Kluyveromyces lactis: one gene and its partner. The protein of the gene in region 2 purifies or fractionates together with the protein of the main gene of each other region. This does not show direct contact. Links are inferred from orthologs where the notes say so. Each region holds a gene or a part of one and is shown on either strand. Other genes may lie near its edges. The genes, in order: SMC3 and CDC5.

Region 1 (17,126 bases), on a different chromosome or scaffold from region 2:
AACGAACCTCTTATAATTCTCTTCATGGTTATTTTAGGAATCAAGTAAAACTTGCTCTGCATCATGACCAACCTCATCCGCCATATTCTTAAGAAATGTTGAACAACAGCTATTGGAGTCCATGGTGCTCAATTCCACGAATTTATTATCATACCTCCATTGTGAGTGTGAGCAACATATTATGATCACTAGACATTAATTATTTAATAATTATTAACAGTTTTTAAGTGGAGTTCTTTCTTATGTCTTCTTTTCTAAATTTTGTTTCGAACATCTTTTCTGGTGATTTAACACAAGCTACACAGTCTCGGTTAATCCCTTATTATTCCTTCTGTGGCTTGTTATTTACTCTCATGCGTGATGTTTATGCATAAATTTTATCATATATCGACGCAATAAACATTAAAATCACGTGCTTCTTTGGTAACGCAATGAAGGAACCTTGAAACAGCCAGCTTAGTCATGATGCCAATTACGCTACATTGAATCCTGCTATGTGGGAATGGATGATATTCAGAATTTGTGGTAGGAGTTTGACTTATTAAGCATATTATTTATAATGTTCTCCTTAGTTTCTTCTGTCAGGCGGACACATTAATGTAGAACAACACTAAATATGATGTCAGATCCAATGGGGAAATTGGTTGAGGAAACCTTCTACTTATATAATTTTGAATTAGCTTCTCAATCGCCGAACGCTGCGATCTTGATCCAAGTTCGGCACAGGTTCAGCTTAACGGTAAGCAATGATTCCATGAATGGCCTTGGAAGTTCCCTTACACCACCATTAACAACAAACGTTTTAAAAATTAAGTAACCAGACATTGTTATTCATGTTCAATTTTCATAAGATTTTCTTCTTATTAGCGCTCTCGTTTTATGACAACACTCAGATACTTTTTCGTTTCATCACTAATTAACAATACGGTCTACTATGCAGTAGAAGTTTTCAACAAAATATTTCTGCCGGAACTAAAATGCTTGTTGAGGGAAAGTACTGACATGAAAAGCACTTTATTTAGTAAGGTTTTATGCATTCGTTCCTCTTTGTATAAGATATATTTTTAATAACTGATCGGTATAGTAACGTCTGCTTTTTGTGTTTTTGTTCATAGAAGGTACCATGGAGTGACTCGGTACATTAAACTTGTAGCTGGCTGATTATTATGCGACAAAATCTTTAGAAGTCTGAAAAATTCCCTTCGAAACAGCAAAATTGATAGCTCCCCAATTGGTATGCTGAAGTATTTATTAAACATTTCCTTGTGATTTCATGGAAGAAATGTTCAGAGGCCATTAGCAGTCATAAAGTGTGTCGATAAAAAGCTATATAAAACTAGACACTAAGTAAAAAATTGAGGTAAAAATCCCCTTGATTCAATCAAGCAGCAAAGTGCTTCAAGATATCTTCAGCAGCCTTGATACCACTAACAGCCATAGCACCGAAAGTTGGACCCATTCTATTCAAACCAGCATGTTCAGCAACTTCCATACCAGCAAAGTAAACTGAACCAACCTTATCGTATGCACCAGCGTTCTTAACAACAGCGTCTTCAGCTCTGTTCATGTCCAAACCCTTCATACCAGCGTAGGACTTAGAGGAATCGATGGAAGCCATACGTTTAACAGTGAAAGCACCAAATGGACCATCGTGACCACAACAAGACAAGATAACACCATGCTTCTGTGATAAATCCCTTTCGCCATTATCCTTGTAACCAGACAATTCGATGACGTTTGGATCCATACAAGATTGGGTGTCGTGATTTTGAGTGACTAGAGTCCAGTTAGTAACAACACCAGCGACGTTGACGTGCTGAGAATTATCATCGGCTGGTCTGGTGACAAGATCTTCAACTGCAGTAGCATTGAACATCTTCACGTTAGGGAACTTCAATACTTCACTCAATACAGTAGACATGAACAAAGCAGCGTGTTTAACAACAACGTAATGACCCTCATCTTCATATGGAATGTTCAATTCGTCCAAGAATTTGTCTGCTGGTTTACGCATGATCATGGCAGAGAACAATTGACCTCCTAACCAACATCCACCACCTGGAGCAACGTTGGCTTCAATAATGGCAATTTTCAAGTCAGGTCTGTTCTTAGCAATGACGTATGCAGCAGATAGACCACTTGAACCTGCACCAATGATAACAACATCGGATACGGCGAACTTGTCCAAATCTTTGAAATAACGAGAGGTCATTGCACGAGAAACAGTTGCTTCCCTAATTGGAGCAAATGCAAAGTCTGACCAGTCGTCTTGTTTGACAACATCAGACAAACAGTGTTCGACACTTTGAGATTGGACTGATAGTTTGTTTTGAGTTTGAGTTTGGGTGGTAGACATTTTTGTTCTGTTGTTGCTACTTGTAAAGTATCCTTTGAATTTAGCTGCTACTGTTCTACAGCGAGAATCATTGATATAACACAAATATAATACCAGAAGGTTAAAAGGGAAAAGGTTGAAAGAGTGGGCCTTTTTATAATTTTAGTTCTCTAACTAGAATGCTCACTGCCTCTTAAACTTCGAACAAAGACCGTGGTTTCACGAGGCTTATCGTCACCCACAACGTTGGTTGGACATGAACCTGTTAGCATTCCATACCATATTACTTTGCCTTTTTTTTTTTTACTGTTAAAACTAATTTCCTTAATGTCTGTACCCTTACTCCGTTATTATACGAATAAGCGTCAGTTAGGAATATCTTGTTAACAGTGATAGAGATATCCGCCAAGGTTCCATGAAAATTGGCTGATTACCAAATCGAGAGTAAACGGGAAAGATAATCGTTCGTTTCCAAAAGAAAAATGCCCCCAAACGTTCTCTTTAACACATCAGTTGATCGCTCAGTAGATTTTGTCCTTTTTGTGAGTATTAACTCTTGGCCTTTAGTTGAATTTCTACCCTTTCTATCGCTGCATATAAAAAAAATACTGTTTTCCAGAGTAACTCTTAGAACAGGCGACAGTTTTTTTTTTGTTCTTTTCCAACATTACCTGCATCCCACACAATTTCCTTAAGGGACATAATTGCTGACGAGAGCATCGTAAATTAACATATACCTGTGTGTATGGTCTGGCGTTTGTCGATAGAAGACCTCATTGGCTGCCATTATTTGCAATTTGAGGTATGAACCGAAAACGAAGGTTTTTAGCTCATCGTTGGCGAAAAAACGTCAGTTTAGGGTGCAAAAAGTAAACTTGGTTGGAAAGAGATACAGGTAGCCCAAGATAGATGACGCAGTAGTACAAGATTTCTGAATTGAAATCTACATTTCCGGTCCATTGAAAGAGTTGTTTGAATTTATTTCGTGTTAAGATGTGGTAGCCTTTCTTCCTTCATTTTCAGTACATAGATACGTGAAAGGCGATTGGAACTATCCACCAGATCAAATTCGGTTATCCTATCCTTAGAATTGGCACTGACATGCCAACTTCTATGAATCAAGAATTACTTTTATTTTTTGGTACTCTAGGTGGGAAAGGCACGCATTGATTCACAATAGAGTGTCCAACGGTTTGAGACATTTTGGGTTGGCTGTTTCGACATCCAACTAGAAATAAATCACGTTTTGGTTATTTAAGTGAAGACAATACTTTGCCAGTTAAAATGCATAAGCCTGTGACTTGAAATTCTAATATTTGAGAGATTGTGAAGTGTCACCGGCTTTGGGCGGTTGGTTCTCTTCCTTAGAATACTTACCAAAGGGGTCTTTTTTACGATGTCGTTCATTGTATTGCATTGTTTTTTTGACCTCAGCGCATACCCATAATATCATTCGTCAACAATAAAGTCTAAAAAATATTAAAACAGTGAGGCATATCAGATTATAGGTATAATGTAGGCTCCTTAAGTTTAAACAAGGTTGTACCTACTTTTCAGGCTGAACATACCAGCATCGCTCGAAGGAAACGTTGTAGATATAGTCATATGCTGCTAAGGTGAATTGCAAAAGCAAAACCGTAGATCTTATCTTTGAACCCTATGAACGGAAGACATGCAGTGCTGGTCATGAGAACAGACATGTCCAAGTTTCTTAATATGCATCAAATAAGTACGTTTTTACCAGTCCATCATTCAAGTACTAGTACATACCCTTTTGCTTCTGCTATGCTATCCTATCAGAGCATTCATTTATAGCTTAGGATGATGAAATTTTGTTCAAGAATGCTTAATTTTTGCCTTTTTGTACCTCGTCTCTCAAAACTCAAGAATCATAAGTTCTTTGTTTGATAAATGCTGCTTGAAATAATACCCCGCGAGTAATATACGTGCCGTTACTAGAAGAAATTATATCACCATTCACACTTATATTCTTTTCATTAAGATTACTTACTTAACTTACTTATTTAGTGAAGATCAACGTTGTAAACAGATTCAAACCACCGTTCATCAAGATCAGATCGCAAATTAATTATCATGACAAGTCTTACGAGAAATTTAGAGCTTGTCAAGATACAAAATCGGCGTTGGCATATCGTAATGAGATATATCTTTTTGATGATGATGCTTCTTCAACGAAAACAAGCGATCCTACGTATCGCATGAGTTGTTTTTTTTTATCGTTTTCCAACTAAACCCTTTTTTTTTTAGGTTTTTAGTATTCCCATTCTACCTTTCAACACGTCACTTGATCATTCTAAGGTTGCCTCTTAAGCTAACGCTAAGAGTCTATTCTTTCTCAGAAATCCTAAAGCAAAACTGAGCCAAGACAATATGTTTGAACTATATAGCCCTGTCAAGATCCTCGCATCTGTTGCAACAACACTTTCATTTGGATACTCATCAGGTTTGGTGACCAGAACCAGCGTTAACACATGGTACCCTACTCTCATTAAACCATGGTTTACACCACCAAACAAGCTTTTCCCAATTGCTTGGTCATCCTTGTATTTGGTCATGGGTATTGCTGCTGGTATAGTATGGTCACACGCTAGTAAGGGTAATAAACTAGCAGCAACAGGCCTCAAACATTTTGCTGTTCAATTTGGTTTAAACATGCTCTGGAGCTATCTCTTCTTTGGTCTCAAATCACCGGGTCTTGGACTAATTGAAGTAACTGCGTTATGGTTTTCTATTTACAAAACATGGTCGGTGTTCACACTTGTCGACCCTACTGCTGGGTGGCTTATGGTCCCATACTTATCTTGGGTAAGTTATGCAACTGTGCTCAATGCTAGTATTTGGTGGTTAAACCGTTGAATGCAAGTATTCTTTTCAATTCTACCCATGTTTGGTACGACGGCCGATTTGCAGAAAATCGTAGCAAGACTTCCGTGTCATCCTGAATGAGTAGATATATGAGTAAATATATGAATAAATACTGAATCTTGATTTTTTAAATGTACACATTTCCAGTTAGCTGCAATCAATGCTATAATGAAATCAGATGTATCTAAGGCAAGATCAAAACAATGTGTGATGGGGTTTAGGTAAAGGTAAAGGACGCACAGTGACATATGAGTTTTCTTTCGTAGCGACACCTGCGAATGCGTCGTACCAGGCAATGAAAGCGACTATTACACCAACGACACCACCTGCCCTTGTGACGTTGGTATTCTGTGCAAATTCACCAATAGATAGAAGAAGGAAAGTAATAGTCAAAAAGAAGAACAACGAGAAGAATGCAACAGTAGATTTCATTGTACACACCGTCATACCAGCAGTGAAGATTGCCCATCCTAGCAAAAAGAATCCCACTGCAGAAGAGAACTGTTCTGGGTGTTCTTTATAGGCATCGGCTACACCGAAGAATGGGATGTATAACGCAGAAAATGACATCCAAAATCCACCAAATGAACTTAGTGCAGTACCACCAAATGTGTTTTCCAACGCTATTTCCCAAATCCCTGCAATTAGCTGAACCAAACCGCCATAAAATGCGGCTGAACCGACAACAACATTCGGTATCGTGATTCCCATTGCCCTGGCATTGAACATTGAAAGTACGAATGTAGTCAAAGCAAAAGCCGATAACCCTAATGGGGCAGGATTAGCGAATTTATGTGTTGAAGGTGGCGCTAGCCCAGGGTTCAAGGTACCACCAAAAGCAGTAAATAAATCTTCCTTCAAGAACTTTTGACGACCGATGAAAACGAATTCGTGATTGTCACCGCCAGTATGAATCTTTTGCAATTCCAAATCATCGTACGCAGAAGATTCTGATGGATCGTGGTTTGCCATACGCATCTGATTCTCGAAATGATCCCCCGATTTTTCATTTAGGGACTGGTCTGACATTATATTCTCTTTTGTTTCTTTTGGTCTTTGAAAGTATGTCTCACGCGAATATTTTGTACTGGAAGGTCAGTGAAGATGGATAATCCCAAAAGTACTAAATATTGAACTGGAGCTCTCTATTGCTGTTGTATCCAAGAGTTATTCATTCATTCTGTTCTTAATGTATAGAATGACGGAACTTCAGCACATTATGTCTTTATATACGCTTTCAAGTCTCAAACCATATGCCATCTTAAGTCTTAACGTCAGCATTTCATGCTTATATCGCAAGCAAGTTACAGTGCATTTCTCCTCACGAACACTCCTTGTTTAACCCTCTCCGTTGTATCGCGCACTGAGTTTCTGTACCGAAAGTTCTTTCTGTCAACCGCTTTCTTTTCAATCATTATTGATCATCCCAGAATTATAGCATGGTAACTCAAGAAATTGTCGGAGTTTGTGGACTTCGAATCCCAAATAGGAATTACCCCTCTGGTTTTTGAATCAAGTCCGTTTCGTATCTTCCGATCTTTTACAAGTGCCGAACTCTACTACTGCTCGAAAGAAATTTATAGCGACGGGATGAGCTTCAATAACAATAGCCGTATGATTACAAAGCAGCATCAGAATAACCCGCTAAACTGCAAACGAGCCTTTACAACAGGCTGTGATCACGGTTCAAATCCTGAGAATTGGGCTACAACGTTGTTACTGAGGTGACCAACAAATTTTGCCTATTTCCTTGCCAGCCTTACTTTGCTGAGGTGATTGGCTGTTCCAGAAAAGCCAACATACCAGCCGGTTTGGGAAATTGAGAGGGTAGGAAAATTAAAAAAAAAAGGTAAGAACCGGAACCGATGACGATTAGGGATAATTCTGTGTCCCCTTCCAGTTCCCGTTCTGCCCATTTTTCTTTCAAGAGCGGGGCGCTGAAAATAGTCCCACGCAAATTCGGAAGAATTATAGGACAGACGGGAAGTTTTACGACACAGTACAAAGGGTGCAAAGCAAACAGGGATTATCAGCAATGAAGTTAATATTTTTTTTTACGGGGAACAACGAAAGTCACGTGAGCTGAGAATCATTCGCAACTAAAAGAACACATATATATGTATGGACAAACAAAAAAGTGTGTGGGATTATGCGGGTTGACTTTCTGTCATTATAGCCGATTCAAACCTCGTACGGTAGTAATCACTTTTTGATGGCTTATTTTCGAGGTCGCAGCCGCACAACATCAGAATGAAGCCCGTTTCCATTTGATAGCAAATCGGCGGTGTGTTCGCTTTTCTTCCTCAGTACTCTATATCCTTTGTAAGTCACGTGATTACTTCAAATTGTGTCCTGCTCCCAGTCGGGCAAAATAGCAAAGGGGGGCTAAAAAAAGAAAGCAATCATCTTTGCTCACTATAATCGATGATTTTGCTAAGATGATAACATGTTCCTTAAAAGAAAACAAATATTAAATGCATCGCACTTTATGATTAATTTCCAAAAAACGCTGTCTAGTTAAAAGTTACTCAGATACACGCATCCCACATAGTCTGAAATGAGCACAAACGTTATTAAAGTCCATTGGCTAAACCAATCGAGGGCCTTCAGGGTTCTATGGTTGTTAGATCATTTGAAACTCGACTATGAAATCGTTCCCTACAAAAGAAATGAACAATTTAGAGCACCAGAGGAATTAAAGAAGATCCATCCATTGGGTAGAGCACCAATTTTGGAGATAGATTATAAGAGTTCTGACAGAAAGGATATCCTTGCGGAATCGGGTTATATTTTCCAGTATATTTTAGAAAATTTCGACAAGGAAGGAATTCTTAACAATGCAGATCAACAGAAGGCCGAAAAGATCAAATATTATCTACACTACGCTGAAGGTTCGCTTCAACCACCTTTATTCATTGAATTCCTCCTTTCAAAGGCTAAAGAGGCTCCTGTGCCATTCCCCTTCTCTTACATTACCAAGAAATTCGCCGACAAAATCAGTGAAAAGTATTCTCGGGGAGAGGTGAAAAACCAGCTAGATTTCATTGAGACCGAAATTGAGCAAAATGACGGATACTTGGTCGGAGGTAAACTCAGTGCTGCTGACATTTTATTATCGTTCCCCTTGGAAATGGCTTTCGAGAGGCAATTCGCCAGAACCGAAGAGTATCCAAATATAGCAAAGTGGTTGGAGACTATCAAAAGGGAAGAGTCTTACTCAACTTCAAAAGACAAAGCCAAAGCGAATGGCGCCTCATTCTAAAAATGGTTCCTTACATACAAGCGATGGTGCACGTTCTGATCTCAAGTTATCTGCTGATTCGAACTTTTGTCCTGAAAGACAATTGAGAGCGCACAACAAGTTTTCTCTACTATATAACTCCGTATTGCCATAGCATCATTTAATGTTTTCTATCTGACAATGGATAAAGTGGTTTAACAAGCGCCATCCTTGGATAATGATAAAAAATCGAAAAATACGAGGTTTCAGGTTATATTTGGAACCTACAAATGCGGTAACTAGTGTTACTGTACTAAGCTCTTTCAGGCAAGAGAGAGTTCTACTGAAAGAACTGGCGCATGAAAGCAAGAGTCTCAACAGATGCGTTCAAAACCCCACTTCCCTATGATTGCAAACCATATGTATATATATATATATACATCTTCAGACATAGCTAGTATCATAAACGAACTGGATTTTATGCACAGAAATTCCAATATGTATCCTCAGAACGAGATTATATTGAGGTGAAACTCAAAGTATTTATGGTCTCAACTAGGAAACTGCATCGATAAGGTTTGACTCTACAAAACGTAGTATAATCGGCGTAAGGTCGTAAATGTAAAGGCTAATGGCATCATATTGCAATAGTTTTCACATATGATAAAAAACCAATTATATTGTGCATTACTTATATAGCTATATCTGCATTGAATAGTAAACAATATCACAGCTCTTCCATTTTATTATTACCTCTGCTAAAATTCACTGCATCTTGTCTAGACACCTCCGTGACGGTGGAGACTTTATTTTCAAACTTCACTCTGAAGAATGTGTCTGCAACATTGATCATATCTGTCCTGAATGTCGTACAAATAAATTGAGCTGTGTCAGAGAGGTTTTTGATGGTTCTTGCCACAGCTATCCGATATTGCTTGTCCAAAGCGGCATCAATTTCATCAAACAGATAGAAAGGAGCAGGGTCAACCATTTGGATTGCAAGTATTAAGGCAATAGCACAAACAGTTTTTTGACCGCCAGATAATTGTTCCACACGCAACTGTTCATCTTTCTTCGAGTTGAAGGACACTTGAATTGAAACTCCTGTATATTTGCTCTCATTCAATGCCTCTGCTGAGTTTTGTTCCTGCCTGGCCCCTCTTCTACGTTTTTTAGTTGATACTTCCGAGTTATCTGTGTTTTTACGATGATTGATAATTAACTTGCCAATTCCTCTGGGGACCAAAGTCGCAAAGACACGACTGAAGTTGTCAGCGACTTTATTGAAGGTTTTTTCTATAGCAGTGATCTTCTGTTCCTTCAATTGGTCAATCAAATTTTCAATAGACTGCTTTGATTCATCTAGTTCTTCAGCTCTTGAAGTGAGCTCGCCTCTCTTATCTTCAAACCTGGTGTAATTTTCAGATGCTCGCTTGTTTACATTAGTCATTTTTGATAAATGCCCGGTAGTAGTGTTCAATTTCTTGAGAATTTCATCACTAGCAAGTGGTTTATATTTTTTTAAGGATTCTTCTGCTAATAGCCCTACCTCCCTAATCAATTGTTGCAATTCCTCCTTTCTTGAGTTCAGAGTTGACTTTTTCAATAAAACTTTTTCTGCATTCTTCTGAAAGTTCGTAATCCTTTTGACTAGTGATCGTTGTTGTGAGTTGGCTTTATCTAAATCCTTTTGAAGGGTTGCTTTCTCTCCTCTAAGGGATTTGATACTGCTGTCTAGTACTGATAATTCAGATTCTACTTGTTCTTTTGTCCTTGTCACAGTTTGTTTCTCCATCAGAACAAGTTCCATTTGGTTGTTGATCTGACTGATTTGTAAACTGTGTGAAGAAGAGGGCTTTCGCTCCAGCTCATGTAACTTAGGAAGTAGCTTTGAATTTAATTCAGCGTTGAGCTCGTCTAACTTAGAAGAAAGTTCATTCAAAGTTGACAAATTGAAATTCAAAGACGTTTCTTTCGTTTGAATGCTATTGGATATAGCAAGTAACTCGGCTTTTTCATCTGCATCTAGTTCATTAACAAATGGTTTAGATATATCCGCAGCAAAGGCATTTGTACGTTCTCTACATTGTTCAAGCTCCGTATCGATTTTGTTTAGTCTCGCCTTCAAAGCTTTTATAGAGTCATCAATCGTAATTTTCTGAGACAGCTTTGCTTTCAACTGACTCCTAGCCTTTTCTATGCCTGCTTCATACGCATCTCTCTCTGCTGCAGCATCCTTAACAACATTGTTTAGGCCATCAATTTCCTGTTCGATACTCTGGAGCGCCTGTTTAATCTCTTGAAGCTCTACTTGAATTTTTTTATATTCTCTTTTCGATTGTTTGAAGTCTCGTAAAGTATCCAGTCTATTACTCTTGTACTGATCCAAGTAACCACCAGATAAAACACCTTTACTGTCTGCACGATCACCGTCTAAAGTTATAGCATTTAGTTTGTATTCTTTGGCAAGGGAAGCACCATCAATCAAGGATTTAACGACAAGAGTTCGGCCAAAAACCTGCTTGATCACTTTCTCAAATTTCACGTCATACTTGATCTTTTTGATTAGAGGTGTACATTGATTTTTCTCCAAGTTATTTGGATACGTAAAGTTGGTATCCACATGCAACTTATTGAGAGGAATAAATGTTACCCTTCCACCTTTCGTTGCAAACAATTCCTTAATTAATAAACTTGCGGTCTCTTCATTGTCAACAACAACATTGAAAAGGGAGTTGCCTCCCACGACTTCTGCACATATTTTGTATTTATCGCTTACCTTTATCAACTCGCCTACAGGGCCAAAAACATGCTCATGTAAATTTAACCTATTAACAATGTCATTGACATTTTGTAGACCAAGTGCTAAAGAACGATCAATTGTTTCATTCATATCTGACTCAAACCTTTTGACATCATTATCGAGAGAGGTGGAAATTGTTTGTAGTCTTTGTTCAGTTCTCCATAGCTGTTTTCTTTGATCGATTTTCGTCAAATATTCCTTCTTGGCTTGTGTTACTTTATTTTGCAAGTCTTCCTGCTGAGCAACAGATCCCATTCCATTTACTGAATCGGCTAGGTCTTCAATTTCAGCATTTAAATTCTCTAAATCATGCTGTAGTGTACTAAGTTGGCTAGTCAGTTGATCTTTTAATATATTAGATTTATTCAGCGACTGGTTTAATAAGTTAATTTGTTCTTGGATCCAGTCATTTCTTTCGTTTACCGTACGAAAATCTTCATACTTCCCTTTTTTTGATAATAATTCTCTTTGCCTCTTTGTGAGTTTCTCGATTTCTACTTTTAAGATTTCTGCTTCATTTGATAGTTTTTGGAATTTTGGTTGTACCTCGGCAATTGACGAGCAGTTAATCTCAATTTGTTTCTTTACTTCTCCGATTTCTTTGACATTTGATTCCAAATGCGCTTGTGAAGCATCCAATTGCATTTGAATATCGTTTAACCTAGTGTCTAAATCCGCCAATTCCCCAGCAACTTCTAGCTTCGATGCCTTTAACTGTGGTAGATCAGTAGACTGTTTTATTTTAATCTCACTTTCTAAAGAATTCATTCTCTTGTTGAGCTCTACTGCAAGCACTTCTCTTTTTTCCAATTCGTTAACATACTCAGAAGAATTTTCAATAATTGAATTGTACTCACCTTCAAGTTGTTCAATTTGGTTCGTAATATCGTTCAATTCCCTATCGTATAAGCAAAACTGTAAAACTTTTCGATCTCTATTTAGATTGTTGTACTTTTCCAATTCTTCCTTTTCATCGGACAATTCGCTCAACCGTTTGTCAAGTTCGTTTAATTCATTAGTGATTTTCGTTCTATCTCTCTCTGCTGCCTCCATCTTTTTCAAAGACTCTTTCAGTTTGTTTTCGAATGATTTTGCACCTACAACGTCCTCTAATAGATGCAGCCGTTCTAAATCTTTCGCGTTGGTCAAGGATATTATTCGCCCTTGCGGAACAATGTTGTAAGGATTCGAAGTTGAAAATCCTACATTTTCTAAAACTCTTCTAACGTCTTGTCTTGTTGAGTTCTTGTCATTAATCATGTATTCATCCTTCTTCAATCCCACTGTCCTTCTAATTCTGACCTCTCCAGTATCGTTTCTTAACGGTGCAAGCATTAAGTTCTCAGGATCATCAAAGATAATTTCAACGAATGCACTCATTACTTGCCCTGCACCTTGGTAGATAAAACCCTTCCTATCTTCACGTTTTAAGTTTGAATTCTCTTCGCTTAAGACGAACCTAATAGCTGCAAAGAAGTTCGACTTACCAGAACCGTTGGAACCGACAACAACATTGTGATGGGGTGAAAAATTCTCCACCACGGTCCGATTCTTGTAAGTCTTGAAGCCACTGATTATAACAGTTTTGATGTGAACCATTTCAACAGTGTTGTAGTCTGTCTTCTTGCCCTTGTAATTACTCTTATTCCTAGAGCTTTCTGATACAGGACGCGTAAACTTAACTTGTTTTGTATAATTTTGTATGTGTTTATGATATTCATTTTTTTTTATTAAAGAAGGACGCGTTTCATAGACAGTGTATAACATAAACAAATTTCAACTCGTTACCCTAACATGCTAACTTAAATGCAACGGTAAGCTTCCTTCTTCGAAATGTTCAAAGTATTTAAATGGATCCAATGTACGCTCGTCTTTACTAAGGCTTGATACGAAGTTAGCTGCTTTCCGATGTAAGTGTTTAAATGGATCATAAACTATGATCGGGTAACTACCAATGTAATAGGCGGTTAAGTATCAAGATGATACATAACGGGTGTTTCGGAATGAAATATCATTAACTAATCTGAATTATTATATAAGGAGGCATTAGATCTGGACAAGGACCATCAATACAGTCATGCCAGATCCCCAGGTGCATCAACATACACTACTGGATATATAGCTAATAAACGCTATGGATTCATCAGATACCAAAGATCTTAATTTAACAGCACGTGACTGGAAATACCAGCCACATCAACAATAAGGTATATTGAGAATCTGCTCCAACACTGAACAGGCATTGGACACTGTAGTCTAGTGGTTTAGGATACTCCCCTTCCATAACAATGATCTTCAGGATCATAGGCGAGGGAGTGACACGGGTTCGAATCCCGTCAGTGTCAATTTTTTCTTTTTTTCTTAAACGCATTTATTATTGAATAATTAATGACGCAAAGGGGCGAATTGGATAAAAGAATTTCGTTCTGAATTCAGCGTTTATTCAGACTTAATACATACAAACGATAGATATTTATTTGCATCAATTGTTTAGAACAAATTTCTGAATAAAATAGTTGTGGAATCTGGCATCATTATCGGACAATTCTGGATGGAAAGACGTTCCTAGAATGCGTCCTTGTTGACTGACTGCCACTATTGATCCATCTTTTAAAGTGTACAATGTCTCTACATCATCCTGAGATAATATCTCTTCTATAATTGGGGCTCTAATGAAGTAGACTTGGAAACCTGTGCAATCAGGAATAAATGAAGAAAAGTCACATGTTTCGATGAACGATTCAGCCTGACGACCAAACGCATTTCTTCTCACCTTTACCTTTAACAGGTCGAGCGAATTTACCAAGCTCGACTCATTGCTGAGTTGTTTAGCTAAAAAAATCAATCCAGCACAGGTCCCCCACACCGTTTTAGTGGGGTCGTGAACGAATTCAATCAAGGAATCAAAAAGTCCTGTTCTTTTCGCAATTAGCGAGATTGTCGTAGATTCACCACCAGGTATAATTAAAGAATCACAGGAGGAAAGCTGTGGAGCAGTCTTAACTGTTATTACTTCTATATCATGTTTATTATCTTCAATGGCTTTATTCAAAAGGGCAATGTGTTCTGCAAACGCTCCTTGTAGAGCTAATACGCCAATACGCTTTGTCATCATCGTCACAGTGTCATAAAGAACCATGAAAAGGCAAAAAACGGTGTAAATTGAAATTCAAATGGAAATCGAATAAAGAAAAAAATAGGCTTGACGGATTATCAAGAATTTATAGATAAAAAAGACCAGATCATATATGTATGCTACGGGCTAGACACTTCTATAATTTATACCAAGCACGCAAATAATAATCGAATGGCCTTTTTAATTTCAACCGGCATGATTACCGATATGGAATGGCGAGCAATCTATTACTTTCCTCCTTAATGGTATGTATCTGTGAAACGAATATTCTAAGTCGAGATAGATTATGTAAAAGAACATCAATGGGTTATATCATGTACAAGGTCTTTACAAGGCGTAGCAGTATGCAATTAATATGATGCCGTTAAGAGTACGATATTTGACTTGAACGCTGCCCAGAATTGCCATTCGATGAGAGATCCAAGCACCCTGAATGATTTTCTGTTCGCATGGATGATTCATCCCTCTAAAGTAAGTATCTCGCATCTGACTTGAATGAGTCAAACTGTAAAGGGCCTTCCTTTTATGATCAATTTTTGTTACTTTTTACCGAAAGGTACCGAGAAAAAAGGTCTAAAAGGCATTCAAAACTGCGCAGTTCGTGAGTGAATATCTGCACGAAATCCGAACTGCCCCACAGTGATGGTGGGCAATGGCATTCACATGCCTTATTGGGTGGTAATCCTTAGCATGGCAGAAATAAAAACTGTAACAAAACTCCAAACCCGAGGTGTAGACTTGAGAATCCTTCCAATGTTAAACAGGGAAATCTTCAGCACTTGTGTCTATCTATGGCGAGCTCCGCCGTTATTTGGATGTATATAAGTATAGCCTTGTGCAAGAAATGTACTTCACTATAAGGAAGCTTTCAGTTTTTGTTTAGGTTATTGTCGTTCTTTTCTTGACGGAAGCTGTTGGCAGTATCATTACAGCGACAAAGACGTATTAAGGAATATTAAGATATGGCAGATTTCAAAGTTAAAAGTGGATTGGCTCAAATGTTGAAGGGAGGGGTGATAATGGATGTTGTCACTGCTGAACAAGCCATAATTGCTGAGAAGGCAGGTGCCTGTGCAGTTATGGCCTTGGAGCAAATTCCTGCTGATATGCGTAAATCAGGAAAAGTGTGTCGTATGTCAGATCCAAAAATGATAAAAGAGATCATGAACAGCGTCAGTATCCCAGTTATGGCAAAGGTTAGAATTGGCCATTTCGTAGAAGCACAAATCCTTCAAGCTTTAGAAATTGATTACATTGACGAAAGTGAGGTTTTGACTCCTGCTGACTGGAAAGGACATATCAAGAAGAACGATTTCAATGTACCATTTGTTTGCGGTGCAAAAGATCTCGGTGAAGCACTTAGAAGAATAGAAGAAGGTGCAGCAATGATCCGTACCAAGGGTGAAGCTGGTACTGGTGATGTTTCTGAAGCAGTTAAGCATATCAAAAAGATTAAATCTGAAATTAAGGAATATCAAGATACTCTCGGTGATGACACAGATTTCATTAAGCAACGCGCTGAATCTATTGGTGTTTCTTATGAGTTACTAAAGTATGTTTTGGATAACGGGAAGTTACCAGTTGTGAACTTTGCTGCCGGTGGTGTTGCCACTCCTGCCGATGCCGCTTTATTAATGCAATTGGGTTGTGAAGGTGTATTTGTCGGGTCAGGTATCTTCAAATCTTCTGACCCAGAAAAGCTAGCTCGTGCAATTGTGGAAGCTACTACCCATTACGATGATGCAGAAACTTTGTTGAAAGTGTCAACTGATTTGGGTGACCTAATGGGTGGATTGTCAATAGAATCCTTGAAGAACTCCGAAAACCCTAAAAGGTTGGCAAACATCGGCTGGTAGTTACGAAACAGTATACAGCGATAGGTATTTTTACATATTCAAGTAAAGACGAACAAAAGTTTATATTGATTTTATAATGCTGCTTTGTTAACAACTTATCAAACAAGAGAGTATCAGCTTTACAATTTAGGAGTCACAACCTGATTAACGAGAGAAGCTGTATACCATTTTTCAGGCAAATACTTAATAACGATAACGAATTGCGTAAAATACAAAGGAATAGTCGAATTAAGATGAACCAGGACTTTCAGGAGTATATGACTCTTACATAGCCCATGTTTAATTCAAAGTACTGCCTCCATGAACTAATCAGTTTTTTTTTTTTGTTGAGATAATGTACCGACATCTACGAATTTCCCACCAAAAATAGAAAGTCAGTGCACGGCAAATTCAAGTTCAAGAAAATATTATTTTATGAATATAGAAAAGGATGCTTTGATCACATGAATAAAGGGATACTTCATATGATCTACACAATGCAAGAAAACTTTGCTACCTAACATCTCTTATATGTTTCGATTCCTAATTCTGTTCTGGGCAAAATAAGAGTCAATAGAAGACATTGTTGTTTGCTCGCATACCGAGAAATCTTTGATAAAAGCAGATCTTACTTTATATCCGATCTATGTCGCGACTGTACACACCGGAGTATTCGGATGAACTTCTGTCATTCGTGCAAGAAGTGTATAGCCAAGATGTGAAACATTACTATGCAAAACTTAAGTTGGAAAAGCTTATAGAACTTTTGGAACAAGCTGAGTCTTTATTTGAGTCATATCGTGAATCCTTATCCGTTGAGAAATATGAAGATTGCTTGTGCGAATATGTGATTGGATCCTTCTATGTCTTTCTAATCATTCCCGGATCTGTACAGTTTAGTGCTAGAAACA
Region 2 (16,712 bases):
ATATATAGTTGCTTTCTAAAGGACTACTGGGTGACCCCGTTTGAAATTCCGAGACTATAGTAGAGTGAACGATGACAGAGGGAAGACGTTTATCAAATCGTTCTAGCATTCGCAACACCACGCATATATTCAACGATACTTCAAGTAAGACGAAGGGTACTAAATTCAAATTTAAGAATGGTTCTGGAACTCGGCAGTCTCCAAACAAACAGCACATATCGTCGTCTCCTCCAATATTAGAAGTTCAAAACATCGCCGATGTAGACACATCAAATACTTTTGGGCAATTCAATCGAATTTCACAGCCACCAAGTAAGAACTTGAACTACGATACTCCAAAGATCAATGTAAAACTAGAGTATCATACAATGCAAAGTTCTAAGATCATTTACAAGATAGATGTTCCAATATCAAGTAAATCAGACATGGAAATTTCTCCCGTGATAACAAAGTTGATCAACGAAACCCATGAATCAGCTGAAGCATTCAAACTTTGTAATGACAATAGATTCGGTTATACCACATTGGACGCTTTACCAGCTGTTTTGAGCAAATATATCTCCCAGAATATGAGTGTTCAAAGGTTACCACAAAGACCTAAAACAAAACATTTGTACAATAGAGTTGATCAATTGCTGGCTCAAGAAAATCAATTCTTTTCGGCAAATGACAGTATAGAACTAAGTTTTGATGGAAAAGCTATGAATAAAAATGATATCTTCAGAATTGTAGATTCGTTCTCGGTGGCATTTGACGATGATGAATATGGTGAAGATGGTGACGACGAATACGTGAAACAGCCTAGGAATATTCTCACCAGAGAAGTCACCGGTGTCTTCTAAATAAAGACGTTTGGTATATGATACTCTCAAATACCTCATTAGAATAAGATTAATATTTCTTTGATCTCTATATACATGAAAATCCTAATATCCTTTTCTTTATGTAAAACAGAAGATGTTCATTGTGAGCCCAGTTTCTTCTCTGTTAAATGTTTCTGGTACATTGCTTTGTTTGTTATATTGTCTGGTATGATCCTTTCTATACTCTCTTTTCGACAGTAAATCCAGGATTTGATTTTCTTAGCTCACGCTGTTCTGCCTTACTTAAAGCTTTATCGGCAAGCTCAACGCTCACAAGCTCCTTTATCTGAGCGACAGCACCTGCAATAGATGGTGTAGCTGGTTGATATGCGACAGATCCTCTTTTTCCGAGTCCTAAACTCTTGACCACTGCCCTAGTCTTCTGTGGAGTACCAATGACTGACCTCTGTAATGTAATTCTGTAGAAAACCATGGCTATCTTTGAAAATTATTATGATAGCTATGCTTTTAGAAACCGTTCGCTAATACCAGTAATGAAGTATAATTTCCTCGGTCGTAAGTTTCGTTGACAATATAGAGAACTATGTCAAAAAAAAACGCTCTTTTAAGAGATCTTGTGCATCATTATCGAAGAGATTAACTGGGTATTCAAACCATTAATAGCCAACGTACATTGATTTTTCAAATAGCATCAAAACGTATAAAGTGATATCATGTGATGTATATTGTCTAGCAGCTCATCGCGTATGTCATTTGGGCACTTCTCACAAACCGTCGCAGGAAAGTGCTACCTACTGAGAAAGAACCAGGAATTGCATATAAAGATCTCAAGATTATATCTCGCTGTTTGAATATTTCTTCCTGAATATGAAGTTGCATTGAAATTGTCTTAGGAGGGGCATTTGCTTGGTTATGTATATATATATATATATATATGTCATTTCTTTTTTTCCAATATTTATGCCCGATTGAATAATATATATATATATCATATTAACAAGCTCTTAACGCCATGGTTGGTTAGATCTCTCTAAGGTTTATATCGCCACTATACACTGCAAAGTAGAAGTAATAATTTGAGCCAATATGGCTGGTAGTACGCAAGACACCGGCGTCAAAGACGTTCCAAAAGAGCTTGTGGAACAAGCAAAAAAGCTATCGATTACTGATGGGATGGACCAGTTGAAGGTAGAAGGTAAGAATAAAGTAAAGGACAAGAAAAGTAAGAAAAAAGGCAAGGCCTTGAATGAGATCACTCCAGAGTATATCGCTGAGATGCGAGCTAAGAGAGAAGCTGCGAAAATAGCAAAAAAAGAGGCTCTTATTGCTCAAGGTATAGATCCAAAATTGCCCGCAGACCTTAGATTTATCAAAAGGCCGATGTTAGCTGTTCCTCGAGATTCATCAGGCCAATCGACGAGAGAGGTATGTCCAATCAGTATAATGACGTATAATTGTCTTGCCCAAGCTTTGATTAGAAGAACACTGTTTCCTACGAGCGGAAATGCTGTTAAATGGTTTAAAAGATCTCAAGTTTTACTCAATGAATTCAAATATTACAATGTTGACGTACTGTGTTTGCAAGAAATTGACACGGTTCAATACAAGTCTTTCTGGAAAATGGAGTTCACAAAACTAGGTTACATGTGTCAATTCCATTTTAATCCTACCAAAAACCACGGAGTATTAATTGCTTGGAAAGAAGATCTATTTGATATGACAGATAAGATGTTAATTGACTACGACAAAGAAACAACAGGTGCCATTGAACCAAGAACAACTACCAAAAATGTTGGCATGTTGCTTTCTTTGAAGTTTAAAAAGAAAGTGCTAGAAAAATATCCAGACACCAAAGTCAGTGGTATAATTATTGGTACCACACATTTGTTTTGGCATCCATTTGGCACATATGAACGGACAAGACAATGCTATATTGTACTAAAAAAAGTAAAAGAATTCCAGAATCGAATCAACGTTCTTCAAAACGAAAAAGACGGTGATAATTCACATTGGCCAGCATTTTTCTGTGGCGATTTCAATTCTCAGCCGTTTGATGCCCCATATTTGTCCATCACATCAAAACCAGTGGAATATACCGGAAGGGCTAAAACAGTTATAGAGTGCAGCACTTCATTTACCTTCTCTAAACTAAGAGATGGGGATGAAGGAGAAGGAGAAGAAGGCGGCAACATTGAAAAATTTGGTAAAGGTCAACCTGAGACCCCCGTGCCAGAATCTTTTTCCGGCAACGAAGAGCAAAAGCAGTTATGTGAGAACATGAAAACCCTTCATAATGACATTGACATGCGCGCTATATCCTTGTATTCAATTGCTTACTCGAAAGTTCATCCTGAAAACTCAGGATTGGACAACAAGCGTAATGAACCTGAAATATCTAATTGGGCACATGCATGGAGAGGTTTGTTAGACTACTTGTATTATGTTACATCATGGGATGGATGCGATTGTACTAAGATAGATGAGCTATCAACATTTGAGCAAAATTATGGAGTTCAAGTTCTTGAGCTTCTAAGAATACCTCCCGCCAAGGAAATGACAGAGCATGGACAACCTCATGAAGGTGAATATCCTAGTGATCATTTGTGCATGATTGTTAAACTGGGAATCATAATGTAAATATTCATAAACTGTTTAACTATGGACTACACTACAGATTAAGCTTTGCTTTCTTATTTTTGGTGGGTTTCGTATCGACTTCTAAGTTACTCAGACGGTTGTAGAAAGAATTCCAAAGTTTCAGGTATTTTACTAACCGTTGTTGCTTTACGTCATCAGATTTCGCAGAACTGGCAATTCGTGCATAAATCTGCTTCACCTTTTGAAGGGTTTCATCACCTTCATCTTCAGGTTTCGATTTATCCACCTCAATCTGTAAAAGGTATTCCCTTAATATTTTGAAATGCTTTTGTAATGCAGGGTTATGAAAATCTGATGGTCTATACCCATTTTTGAGATTGAAGAAGTTTATCAAAGTTTCTGTCACTTTGCTCATCACTTTATAATCATCTGATTCTATTAACGCAGAATGATTTAAGAAATCAGGAAGTTTTCGGACCTCTTCCATAAATGGAACCTTGTAGAGATAGAAACCTTGGTTATAATCTTTCTTGGAGCTTGGTGTTAGGACAAACATGGATGGTGGAGAGTTTGGCCGTAGTTTTCCCCAGACCATTGCAGACTTCTTTTTGAATAACATTGTTCTATATAGTGATGCTAGTGTCTTGATCGAGCCTGCATAGTCTTCCTCGTTCGGTACAACAAAAGCTGGTACGTCAATGTTGTCATAATAGTGTAAACACTGTTCCGTTGACCTGAATCCTATTAACTTCAAAAATGATTCATGTTCGCTGTATCCGCTTTGAATTTTGAGATTCTCGTCTTCTGTTAATTCTATGATCTCATCGCCAAAAGTGTAGACCTTAGACAACTGACTATTATCAACTGCTTCCCCAGTTTCAGCGTCTAAATATTCTCGGTGAGAGTATGCCTCTCTTCTGACACTACCGTTGGCATATACAAGCTTGTATTTCGAGCCGGGTATCTCATGAGAGACAATAGTATATCCATTCACTGAAACTACCAAATCAGCTCTTTCATCTAACATCAAGGGGCATCGGAATTTGATTCTCTTGATTTCCTTTGTTCTTTTCACTTTCGATTTTATGTACGATGCATTAATGGGATTAGTACTAGGGCCGTGTGAGGATAGCCATGATTGTGCTTCGTTGATCTTTGAACCCCATTTCAAGATATCTGCATACATAGAATCGTCAAATGGTTTATCTTCAGAACCAATGAAAAATGTGACAAAATTGATATAATAGTCATATAAATCGTCGACAACTTTTCTAAGACGAGATCTGCTGTCAACGTTCAAGAACTCAGCCGGTTTGTCGTCATCAGTAAAAAAAAATATTTTCTTGTTAGTCAGTTGCTTCTGTCCTTCTATCGGTTGTAAAAATGTTTCTCTAACTTTGATCAATACTGGAGAAAGTTCAATTGGGTTGTTTGGGTCTGCGATAGGAATCTCATCTTTGAGAAGTATTCTATCCTGTTCTATATCTTCCAACAGATCAGATACACGTTTCATATTCTTATAGTTCACATCACGTAACGGTATTAGTTCATACACATTATCTTCAGCGTTAGGATGAGAACAGTTGTAAATATAACAGCCAACTGCAGTACTTGGCATAACAACTACCAATTGTGACATTAAATCATTTAGTGAATCTAAAATCTCTAAGAGTTGAATTTTGCCTCCAAGATCAGGGTTTGAAAGATACATCGTGGGTGTTAGCTGAATACAAAACACGATACCATCATGTGCTTCGTAGCGTCTCCATTTCTTGTGATCACTTTCTTTATCATCGTCTCTTGTTTGAGTCAATTGACTCTTTAAAAAGTCAGGTTGTTCGAAAGACATCTTAGGTGCAATGGAATTTTCTATCGAAAACTGACGTAGTAACCCACTTTTTAGATCTTCAGTTCTGTGAAGGTTACACTAACCCTTTTCATTTTAACCTAAACCTTGAATCCTTCATTTACTTTGGTTATCTATGAAGGATCTCGTCCCTGATTTTAGAATTATCACCATTCACGTGATCGTGAATGACTTTTACTTTGAGCATGCTCGCTAGTTCCGGGAATAGATTTTAGCAATAGAGCTGTGATAGTAGTTCAGGATGGCATTGTCCGTTAATTCTGAGCTAACGATTTGGATCATGAATTTAAACTTACTTATATATTCTTCTATGTCATATCCCTACGTTCAAGAGCATTGAAATTTAGTTCGAAATAATACAGTTTTGATATGAAAGATTCAATGGGATGTATATCTCTTACAGGCAGATACGTTATCTACATAAACGACTGCTATTAAAGGGTTTGAGAATCAAGTTTTAATTCTGGTATCAGTCTCGTCTAGCCTTATCTTTACCGCAATCCTCAACCCCAATAAGAAAATATTATTGAAACATCTTCTGCGAACCAGGATTGTTACCAAACACTCAACCGCTGGGATCATTTTTGTTCAAAAAGAGCATCATAATCCAGTGACCGATATGGCTATAAAATTGAAAAATCGGTGGCTGGGCGTTGCAATACCTGCATTTCTTGTTGCATTGATTGGGTATGGATCTCATTACTTCATTCTTTCGAACTTTCTTTCATGGAATGAGCAAATATTCTATCAAACATGTCAAACTATGATTTGGGTTTCATACTATTTGGCCATTTATACCAACCCAGGTATACCGCCAAAGGATTTTAAGCCGTCTGCGGAAGAATGGCATAATTACTGTAAAAAGTGTCGGGTTTACAAGCCTGAAAGGGCCCATCATTGTAAAACCTGTAATCAATGCGTATTAGCAATGGACCACCATTGTCCTTGGACGCTCAATTGTGTTGGACACAGCAACTTTCCCCATTTTATGCGCTTCTTATTCTGGGTCATTTTCTCTACTGCTTACCTATTATTTCTCCTTATTGGAAGAATCTATCTACTTTGGTCCATAAGGCATACGGCTTTTCATCATAGGTCTACATCAGAGATCATTTTTATCTGCATTATGACTCCTATGGATGCATTTGTATTGCTCACAGTTTCTTCACTACTAGGAAGGTGTATTTATAACCAATGTTTGCATGGTATGACACAAATTGAATCCTGGGAGATGGACAGAATTCAAAGTTTACATTACAAGAACAGGCTTTTGGCTCAAGTTATAGACCGTTTGGTGGAGCGAAGGCCCGAAATACTTCCCGCCAAGCAGCACGAAATTAATAAATTACTCTCAAAAAGATATGTGAATCAAGAAGATTTCACCAACTTCCCATATGACGTCAACCCATGGACCAATATTAACAATGCAATGGGTCCTTGGTATCTTTGGTTGTGGCCGTGGTCCAAGCCGCCAACTATAGGGACATCATTCGCCAAGAACGAACTTTTTTTCTATGATCCAAATTCATCTATAGAGGATATGCTTATGTCTTTACCTTGGCCTCCTGATGGTTTGACACATCATTCCCGGGCTTTAGGATCAGGATCATCAATCGAGACGATAGTTTCTGGAGGTGAACAAGTAATAAGAGATAAATCCGTAGATCTCAGGGATAGGTTAGGGCGGAATTCCTGGTATAACGATTGGGGAGAAGACCTATCCGATTTCGGAGTAGATACTGAACTTGAATAGGGTAATATTACTACTATATAACTGCATTATATAACATGAATTTGTTTATTTTACAATCGTGTATGCAAAAACTACACAGCTTTTTCAGGAACATCTTCCTTAGAGATTGGTTCGTTTGGTTCTTCAATTTTTGCAGTAATTGTCAGTGTTTGGTCAATTTCTAATTTACCTTGTTCCTTCAAAATTTTCATTTTGGACTCTGCGCGTCCAATTATCTCAGTGCTCAAGTTTTTCTTCCAACCCTTAGAACTATTCAAGAATTTATCCATTTTTGATGCCGGTTGAGTGCTTTGGGAGCTTGGGAACTTATTAACAGATTTTCTGGTGAACACATCAGTTGAACCACATTCGAAAGTTAGTTCATAAGTTTCTGGGTGTATGTTAACTTTGAGCTTGGATTGAGAGACCCCTTCTGGTGAGAACTTGTCATTCTGTTCCTCATCATCAAGATATTCCGCTTCTTTTTCGATGATTTTCCCAAGGAAGGGTTGGCTGATATCTTCCTGTGTTATCCCTTCGGTAGGATGAGACAATGAATAAGACGTGACATAGTAATCCCATTTTTCTTTCATGTTTTGAGGCTCTTTTAATGTCAAATCGTCCACGGCAACGTATTGGATTGATACATGTGAGCTGTCGGTATTGTATTCAATACGGAACATATTCTCAGATTCTCCCATGGTGTTCCTGACCTTCAATCTATACAAAATCTGATCCTTTGCAGTGGTATCCCTTTTTAGTCTGTCTTGTTCAAACAAAACCATCACCATGGCATTTTTTGGATCCGTTATGATACTATGGGCATGTTTCACTAGTGACTGGACGACTTTGTCGATGGTGTAGATTTTGAACGCCTTATTCTTGTACGCTTGACGTAAACTCTCTTCGAACCATTGATGATCTAAATCACCAGTTATCAATCTTTTCGAAAGTCTTAACAACTCACCATAAGCTTTAGTGTCTTTGAAAGCTAGACCCATGTCAGCCAATTGTGTCGAAATTAGATTTAAATCGCTGGCAAATTGTACAATTTTCCTGTTTTTAATCTCATCAGTAACCTCAGCATCTATTTTCTTGACTTCTAATAACCGTTCATAGAGAGTGTTCAAGTGACGGAAGAAAACATAAATGGTTGTGTTAGTGAAGAGATTGAAAATGTGTCGATCGGATACTATCCCACTATTATTGGCTTCATCAATAAGGCTTCCGAGTAACCAAGGTTTGGCTGCCTCTTTGGCCAAGAGTTCAGTCTCATCTTCTTCATTCGATTTTACGGAAGAGCTATTTTGATTCTCTTCGGAATTCGAGGTTTTTGCATTCTTCGTCCTACGCAAAATGTCTTTCATCAGATAAGAGTCTTCATCAGATAATGTTCTCTTATTAGATTTTTCTGAATCGCTTTTATTAGAATCTTCTTCTCCATTTTCTTGGTCAGTTATTGAAGAGCGTTCAGATACAGCTTCATTAACATCTTTGATTGGATACGAAAAGAATAGAGATATGAACGCCTTGAAAAAATGATCCAATTTGATCTTATCCGAATTGGAATAGGATGCATTAGTCTTAACGAACGTAAACACCAAATCCAAAATATCATACAAAACTTCACGGTCATTTATCTCAAAATCTAACTGACTCTTTGGTTTAGGTGTCAATGGATGTATTCTTTTATTGGTTTGATCAACCTTTATGCTGCTAATTTCAGATAGTAGTTGTTTGGTAGTCAACAATTTCTTGTCGGCTTGTTTAAAGGTCAACCCTAAATGGTCCAACGATTTATAGTAAACCTTTTGCTCAAGTTCTCTCCAGACCTTATTCCACTCTCTCTGAGCTCTTCTCCATTCTTCATCCTTTTGCTTTAATCTTTTCAAAACAATGGGCACTGTGACAGCTGGGTGCTCGTGTAAGGCGTCAATAATCTCAAAACCTCTGTCTTTATCGTATACTTTTCTAACGACTTTCTTATAAATTGTTAGGGAAGTATGACCCAATCCAGGAGGAAGCTTGAAATTGTTCTTTTCCTCGTTGGTCATGTTTGCAATTTTATTAGCAATCGTTTCCAAGGTTTGAATTGTTCTTAAATTGGACTCGATGTAGAAATCATATTCGTGCCTTTCTTCTTCTACCTTGAAGAGTGTGTCCTCATATTGATTCTTCCGATGAGCAATGAACCCAGAGTCCTCTGACGCCCACACTGGATGACCCACCCATTCATCATTCAAAACCTCCCAGCACATTTCGTCTCTTCCAGAGCATGGCATGAAGGTATCGTCTTTTGGCAATTTTTTATAACTTGGGCCGCATGCTTCGCAGAGGTCCAAGTCCAATCTATGTTTTTCATGTACTATATTTTCGATATGTTTGGGTTTTTCTTGGTAGCCAACAAAACTTTTGAACCAATCGAAAAGTTCTTTAGAGCTATGCAAATAGAATTCCACCTTCGAGACCAATTCAGAGGTTGTTAGAAGATCTTGTGAGTACAAATTAAGAATTTTCAAAAACTCAGCGTAAACTTGCTTGTTTCCAATAAACCTTTTCACTCTTTCAAAGAACGTCACTTCATCACCTAATGCAATGGCATCTTCAGGAGGTTGTATTGGTTCTGGTACGACGGGTACAAGACTTGGGTCCAAGTCAATTTCAGGTCTAGCCATAGGAGCTTCCATGTATTGCACACCTTCAAGTGGTTGAGGATAACCTGGGGCACCCTGAATGTACTCTACTTGATTATAAGTGCCATTCATGGTTGATCTCATTTCAGATACAGGAATATCCTGGTTGGACATACCTTGTGTCACAACATGTTGAGGTATCACGTGCCCACCTGCAATGTGCTGGTGCATAGATGGTAGCATATGACTATTTTCAGCCGGCGATGCTTGGCCTGAAGCAGAAAAATTTCCTAATGGAGGAAGGTTCGTCGGCTGCATTAACACTCCAGATTGTGGATAGAATCCTTGTCCCTGCATAGATTGATTTTGTTGTAAGTAAGGTTGGGGTGGGAGCATTGCTTGCTGATTTTGATCTTGCGGTAACGGTTGCTGTTTTTGCTCATGATGTTGCTGCTCCTGATCTTGTTGGTGTTCCTGTTGCTGATCTTGTTGTTGTTGCTGTGGTTCTTGTTGTTGTTCTTGTTGTTGCTGTGAAACAGAAGAGTCCGGCAAAAATTTCTTAAAATCGTCCAAGAGATCAGGGTTATTTTGGAAAAGGATCGTTACTTGAGCATAAACCTCATGAATTGGTTTCTGTTCCCTCTGGTAGGTTTGTAAGATTTCCAAGAATTGTTTATAGATATCAGGCTGGTCAGCAAACCTAGTTTTGATTTTGTTGACATAGCTTATGGCATGAGAAAATTCTACTTCGCCTGTCTTTTGCTGTCCAGGTAAAGCACCAAGCATTCCACCACCAGCTGCAACAATTTTTTGATTGACAAATTGATTCTCTAACTGTGGCGGTTGAGGCTGTTGTTGAGCTTGTCTCTGTGGTGGCTGACCTTGTTGCTGAGGAGACTGTTGTGAATGTAATTGTTGAGGTTGGGTCTGTGATTGTGGTTGCGAAACAAGCATTGCAGCCGAGGTTGCAGATTGATTCTGCAACTGATCCTGCAACTGCTGATGTTGAATTTGATCCCCATTATTGAATTGAGGTTGAGAGACCTGCTGCTGCATTTCAATATTTTGGTTTTCAACATTTTGGCCAGCTACGGGTGCTAATTGATATTGTGTAGGTGGTCCAGCAGAAACTTCACCGGTAGTTCCGAACGGTGTGGTAACTTTGATTGGATCGTTTGGGTTGGTAGAACATTCGATTTTATACCCATGAGGAAGAAAAGTATTGAAACCTTGAATCAAGTTCGGGAATCCTTGGAAAAGAGTCGTTACTCGTTGAATTACTCCAGGAGTATCGATAGCCTGAGATTTGAAGTCCTTCATAATGTCCAAGAAGTGGTTGTAGACATCCGGTCTAGAGCTGAATTGAAATTTAACCTGTTCCAAATACGATAAAGCATCCTTGACGTTCAAGGGCCTATATGAAGAATACTGAGCTTGTTGCAGTGGATCCTGTCCCACTGTCATAGCATTTTCCACCTGGACATTGTGCCCCTGAAGTAATTGCTGTTGTTGCTGTTGATGCGTAATATCTGGTTGTTGAACGATATTGTTAATTGATGGAGTAGGGATGGCGCCCTCGCTATTCGTTGAGACAGGACCGTTACTCCCGGCGGCAGAATTGATAGGAGTTCCTCCATTCTGTAAATTGATGTTATCCATTCGGTTAGAAACACCAGACAATGGTCCGTGGATGTGAGGGTGCACATGCGAATGTGAATGGGAATGAGAACGTGCGTTTTGCTGGCCTTGTACCTGTTCCTGTCCTTGACCCTGGGAGGGCTGATTTGATCCACTAATAGTAGAAATCGATGGTAGGGTCACGTGATGTTGTTGTTGATCATGTTCCGGTTTTATCTGGATGTTAACGGCGGGAGGCGCGAGCTGAGGTAACAGATTTGGACTGTTCTCACTTTGACCTTGCACACCATTAATCATTCCAGTCGATGGTGGAATTTGTTGCTGCTGCTGCTGCTGTTGTTGTTGTGGACCATCCGGTTGTTGGTTCCATGGCGCCGACATCTTTTACCCTCGAGCACGATTGCCAAATTTTGTACTAATACGATGCGTTAGATAACACGATCAAAGAATAGATGATAGCAGCGCTAATCGTGGTCGTACCTCAGAGCAGTTAGATAAGTTCCTTAATCAGAATCAAATCTCGATGATTGATAAAGAAAACAATAAAAAAAAAGGAACAGGACCAAAAAACACGTCGTGAACAATGGTGTACTCCTTAGACTATGAACTAGATACTCAAAGTACTGGTATAAGCTCAAAGCAATTACTCGATTATCCGCCCTTGATATCGCACAGAGAAGGTTATGTCTTGTCTCGTTCCCCTTTAGATTCTGCAACCGCATTTAATTTCCACTCTAAATACATACTTTAAAGAGTTCAAATGTTAAATTTCAATTTATATGTTTTTTTGAATCTTTCCATTTTGAATTTTTTTTTTTTTTTTTTTTTTTTGGTCTTGGGAACTGTCGACATTTCGGGTCAGATTCAATATCACGTGCCTGAGGGTAACCACTTTTCATTCACTGATTCTGATTGCAGTTCGCTTCTCAACATGAAAAATTCACAACAGAACTTTAAAGTGACCATAGACAACATTGTGTGGGTTTGGCAGGAGAAGGCAGCGCAATCCAGTGACAGATTCAATCAGTGGCTCCGCTAGATAATATAGAGTAACGATATGAATGCTCCAGATAGATTTGAACTTTTTTTACTACCGGAAGGTGAGTCGAAGCTTAAAGTAGAGCAAGATACCAAGGCATCCAGTGCTATTATAGTAACGTTTGAGAAAGAAGACCACACTCTAGGGAATTTGATTAGAGCCGAACTTTTAGAAGATGAAGGAGTTCTTTTTGCAGCTTATAAGGTAGAGCATCCGTTATTTGCCAAGTTTAAAATGAGAATTCAGACTGTGGAAGGATACGATCCGAAGGATGCGTTGAAGAACGCATGTAATAGCATTATCAATAAGTTGGCTCAGCTGCAGTCTAACTTCGAAACAGAATGGAATTTGCAAACGTTGGCTACTGAGGATTATGGTATGTAATAGTGTTGGAAATTGCTCAAGTGTATTAAACAAGTGTCAGGTAATTCATCTTTTCAAAAGAATTATTGAACCTCCTTCGGTTTTTCTCTATCCCCTCTTCCCTTCTATGTATTATTTTCATGAACTGTGTTGTGTTTCGGCTATAAAATAGGAGAGCGTATTACTATCCACCGTAAAGTTCAACGTTCATTGTGTATAGGACTATTTCTTTTGGGTTTTTTGGGTATTATCAGTACAGAATAGTGACCTTGTTTGCAATAAAAAAACCTTGGAAGGAACAAGATATTCGAATTTTGATATCTTCACATCTTTCTAACTTGTATACATTTGTTGTTACTTTTAAGATACAGTTTTTCTGGTGAGGGATCATGTTAAGATTCAATTATTAATTTATGTTAAATTAAACAAATTTATTCTGGCAGCCCCAGGCTTATTTCATCACAGATTCAAAATTAACTAATGAAACAATGAAATCTGACAGGTGAAGATATTTTGATACAGAATGGATGGCAGTTTTAGAAGTTGCAATCGGGGGAACACAACGATCAGGAATAGCTGGTATCATTTGGTATAAATCGTTGGATGCAGGAATGCGAAAAAAATACATAAAGGCGCTTGATGGACGTAGCCATACATGCTGGCTTGTACAACCAGATGAAGACATTCAAATGCAAATTGCATATTATCACAATGACATCCCTACCTAATGTATTGTTAGAACACTTGCTTTATCTCTCAAGCCCTCCTTCATTAGTTCTAGTTTCTCGAATATATCAATAGAAGGGAATCCTGGTACACATCCATCTATTAGAACACTCGAAAGCAGTAACGTTATCGTTTTACGATCAGATGAAATAAATGTTAAGAATTTACCTCCATGTGACAATGCAAATTTATTGTGATCCTTGAAGTTGAATTGGAAAGTACCATCACTCAACTCAAACATAACAAACTGTTTATAACGGGTGTATCTTCTCAAGAACACATCATCTTTATGATAAGTTTCACGGACCAGCGTAGAAATTCTACTCAAATTGGAGTTCATGTAATTTGAGAAAAAATCGACCACTTCAAGGTGTCTTGTTAATTCAATAGGTTTAGATTCTAATTTATAATGGCTTGCAACCCATCCTTCCTTAGTATCATAGTTAATATACCAGAATTCTTCCGCATCTGCTAGCTTTAATACTGTGGTTCCGTTGTTGAATAACACCCCGATATCGTCAGTTGATAACTGGTATGCAAATCCATGTTTGTTCGAATAGTCTACCCATTTTGTGACCACGATTGGGTCTTGTACGGTGGAGTCTGGAGAAGGATAGTTTGATTGCCTCTTATCTATTTCGGCACTCTTGATCCCTCGTAGTGTCATGTGGCATTCACTTGCAAGTATTTTCAGCGACATTTCGGATTTAATCATGTTAGTTGAAGTTGCCACCAACTCAGGCTTGAAGAATAGATTCTCTCCGGCTTTTTTCAGTCGATTTTGATATGCCATCTCGTTAAATTTTCTGTGGCCATCAAGATCGATAACTTCTTTATATTTATTTTTGGTTCCGCCTGGTGACAAGGATTGTGGTAAAACAGCTCTGTTTCTTTCTTCTTCTATTTCTGTTCTCACTAACTCAATTGGATTCTTACTACCATCATAAGAATGAGTTTGTGAGCTCTTAAGTAACCCTGAGTTTAGCATACATTGTTTCAAGTTAATCAATGACTCGCTGAAACTGAGGTGATCGAAATTTGGAATCTCCTTGGTTATTGTAGACGGTAATCTTGAAGGGAAAGTATTTCTGAACCATACGTTATCAGTTATTTCATATAACGATGGTCTGGCGGCTGGATTTAACTGTAAGAGATGTGAAATCAAGTTTTTAGCATCTGAGGATACCGGTTTGTCAGCTGGGAAAATGAAATCTCTACACTTAATTCTTTCATAGATTGTTTCAACTTCTTTTGCCTGGAATGGTGGTTTACCGAATAGCAATGCATAGAGCATCACACCAATTGACCAAATATCAACCTCATATGAGTGACCAGTGTGCTTTCCGGTGAGCACTTCTGGAGCAATATAGTTAGGTGTACCACAAATGGTATATTTACGCTCTTTATCATTTGCCAAGACAGCAGCAAGACCGAAATCACCGATTTTTAAGTTGTACTCTTTATCGAAGAAAATATTTCCAAGTTTCAAGTCTCTATGAATAACTCTTCTACTGTGCATATATCTTATGGCACCAATGATTTGGATCATACAGAATCTTACTTCAGGTTCCGTCAAATGTTTTCTTTGTCTTAATAATTCCATAACAGATCCGTTTGGACAGATCTCTAATAAGATATAAACGTTAGTATCATCTTCGAAACAGTCTGTAAATTGAACGATATTGGGATGTTTCATAGATTTGTGGATCTGAATTTCTGATAGTAATTTCCTTCTTGTCTTTTCAGATTTGATAGACAGTTTAGCAACTGTCTTCGCAGCAAATACTTTTCCCTTGTCATCCTTCATTTGGAAACAACGAGCAAATCCTCCCTCACCTAAGAAATGTCCTCTGTGGTAGTCCCGTCCTCTAGTCTTGATCAACGATGGAGGTGTTTTGCATAAAGAAGAGAGTTTTTCCTTCTTCTTTTTCTGAGGCGGCTGCTGACGATTGATATTATTATTATTATTGTTATTATTATTATTGGTGGGTTTACCATTCGTAGTAAGTCTATCTATATGATGCAGCTCAGTAACAACCCTTTTAGCCTTGATCGGTGTATGAATATTATTCGATCGAGCATTTAGCTGTTTATCGTTGATGATTTGAAGTGGTGGTGCAGACATGATGTCTGATTATTTTGTAGCTCTTTGATGGAATGATACTCCTGCGAGCTTTTGTTATGTCAAACACCCTTGTCGAACCAGTATACAAGAAATATCACTGCAATGTGTGATAAATAGTCTACACTTATCAACCTCCAGTAACTAATTTCTTTCTTGCGTGTATTTCCTTGGCCCGTCCAATAAATACCTTGCAATTAACGGTTTTGTGGCTCTCGATCAAAAAAAATGAATCTACGACGTCAAAGCACTGGCACCGTTGAAAAACTGAAGCGATTTAGGTTAACAACAGCAGAATGAGTACAACAACCAAGATTCTGACTGTTAAATGATGTTTCCGCTCACTGTAAGTCTTCCTTTCACCTGCAAGTTTGTAAACTAATATCAGTGATGTAAGTATTCCTAAGAATAATCGAACTTTCAACTGAATTATGGCAGTCGCAGTAAAAAAATGCTTCTAATATCAAAAGAACCCTTGTTATAAGCACTTGATACGTCTCAGGTAAGATGGTAACAATTAAAGGACTGAGTTCCCGCCCTCTCTTATGCCAAGTATGCTCTTAGGAAGTATGTAAAGAAAGACTGTATAATATTAGAATCTGACTTTTTTCCCTTCCAATATAATAGTATATTATACCAAACCCAGTACTTTTAAGCTGATATAAAAGCCAAACCAGTATACAAGGATACCCAAATAGTAATATCAATGACAATGAGCTACCGCAATTTACTGTAACTTCAAATTTATTCAAACCGACAAATTACTAGTTTTGTCAACTTTGAAAACACAAAACCGACTATTTACATTATTGAATTTTTTTCGACATTAACCAAATCTGTACAACGGAAATGAACAAAATGTAAACAATAACAAAACACTCAATGCGGTAAGTGCCAAAAACCCTTATTTCTTTAAAAGGACATTTTCCTAAGTAAGTATCTAATGAAAAAGCAAATAATTACCTTACCCGAATATTAGATCACGTGAGACTTTTTTTTTTTTGGGGGCAATTTTGAAAATTTACGGTTGTTCTATTTTCATTTTCACTTCTGCCCTTTACAGGTTAATATCTGTTGAATGTCTTGGATTCTTGAAAAATCAAATCTTCAAGCATTCGGTAGAAAAAGCTGATCTATTTTTTAGTAAGAGAAGAGGCACTGTCCTGATCA

The links.
Region 1: the proteins of CDC5 (region 2) and SMC3 purify together in Saccharomyces cerevisiae (affinity purification with mass spectrometry; 4 studies listed by BioGRID, with this or other methods). This does not show direct contact. The link is inferred for Kluyveromyces lactis from reciprocal best matches to the Saccharomyces cerevisiae genes CDC5 and SMC3.

The regions. Positions count from the first base shown.
Region 1 is NC_006037.1:12,856-29,981, forward strand, and holds SMC3 (cohesin subunit SMC3), read right to left. Parts: upstream 12,844-17,126; coding exon 9,169-12,843; downstream 1-9,168. Other genes in the region: THI4 (thiamine thiazole synthase), read right to left, coding at 1,382-2,356; KLLA0_A00220g (TspO/MBR family protein), read left to right, coding at 4,727-5,212; KLLA0_A00242g (acetate uptake transporter family protein), read right to left, coding at 5,417-6,250; GTT1 (bifunctional glutathione transferase/peroxidase), read left to right, coding at 7,779-8,483; KLLA0_A00352g (pyridoxal 5'-phosphate synthase subunit PdxT), read right to left, coding at 13,727-14,383; KLLA0_A00374g (pyridoxal 5'-phosphate synthase subunit PdxS), read left to right, coding at 15,343-16,236; ubiquitin-specific protease UBP7, read left to right, coding at 16,862-17,126. UniProt on the Saccharomyces cerevisiae protein: Involved in chromosome cohesion during cell cycle and in DNA repair. Central component of cohesin complex. The cohesin complex is required for the cohesion of sister chromatids after DNA replication.
Region 2 is NC_006039.1:539,242-555,953, reverse strand, and holds CDC5 (polo kinase CDC5), read right to left. Parts: upstream 15,546-16,712; coding exon 13,419-15,545; downstream 1-13,418. Other genes in the region: KLLA0_C06292g (uncharacterized protein), read left to right, coding at 72-842; MRPL33 (mitochondrial 54S ribosomal protein uL30m), read right to left, coding at 1,042-1,296; NGL2 (RNA exonuclease), read left to right, coding at 1,911-3,461; ATP-dependent DNA helicase YKU70, read right to left, coding at 3,493-5,271; palmitoyltransferase PFA4, read left to right, coding at 5,909-7,042; transcriptional regulator SIN3, read right to left, coding at 7,114-11,673; DNA-directed RNA polymerase II core subunit RPB11, read left to right, coding at 12,350-12,715. UniProt on the Saccharomyces cerevisiae protein: Protein kinase required for the cell cycle where it is involved in mitotic exit. A component of the fear (CDC14 early anaphase release) network which promotes CDC14 release from the nucleolus during early anaphase. Phosphorylates SCC1/MCD1 and NET1.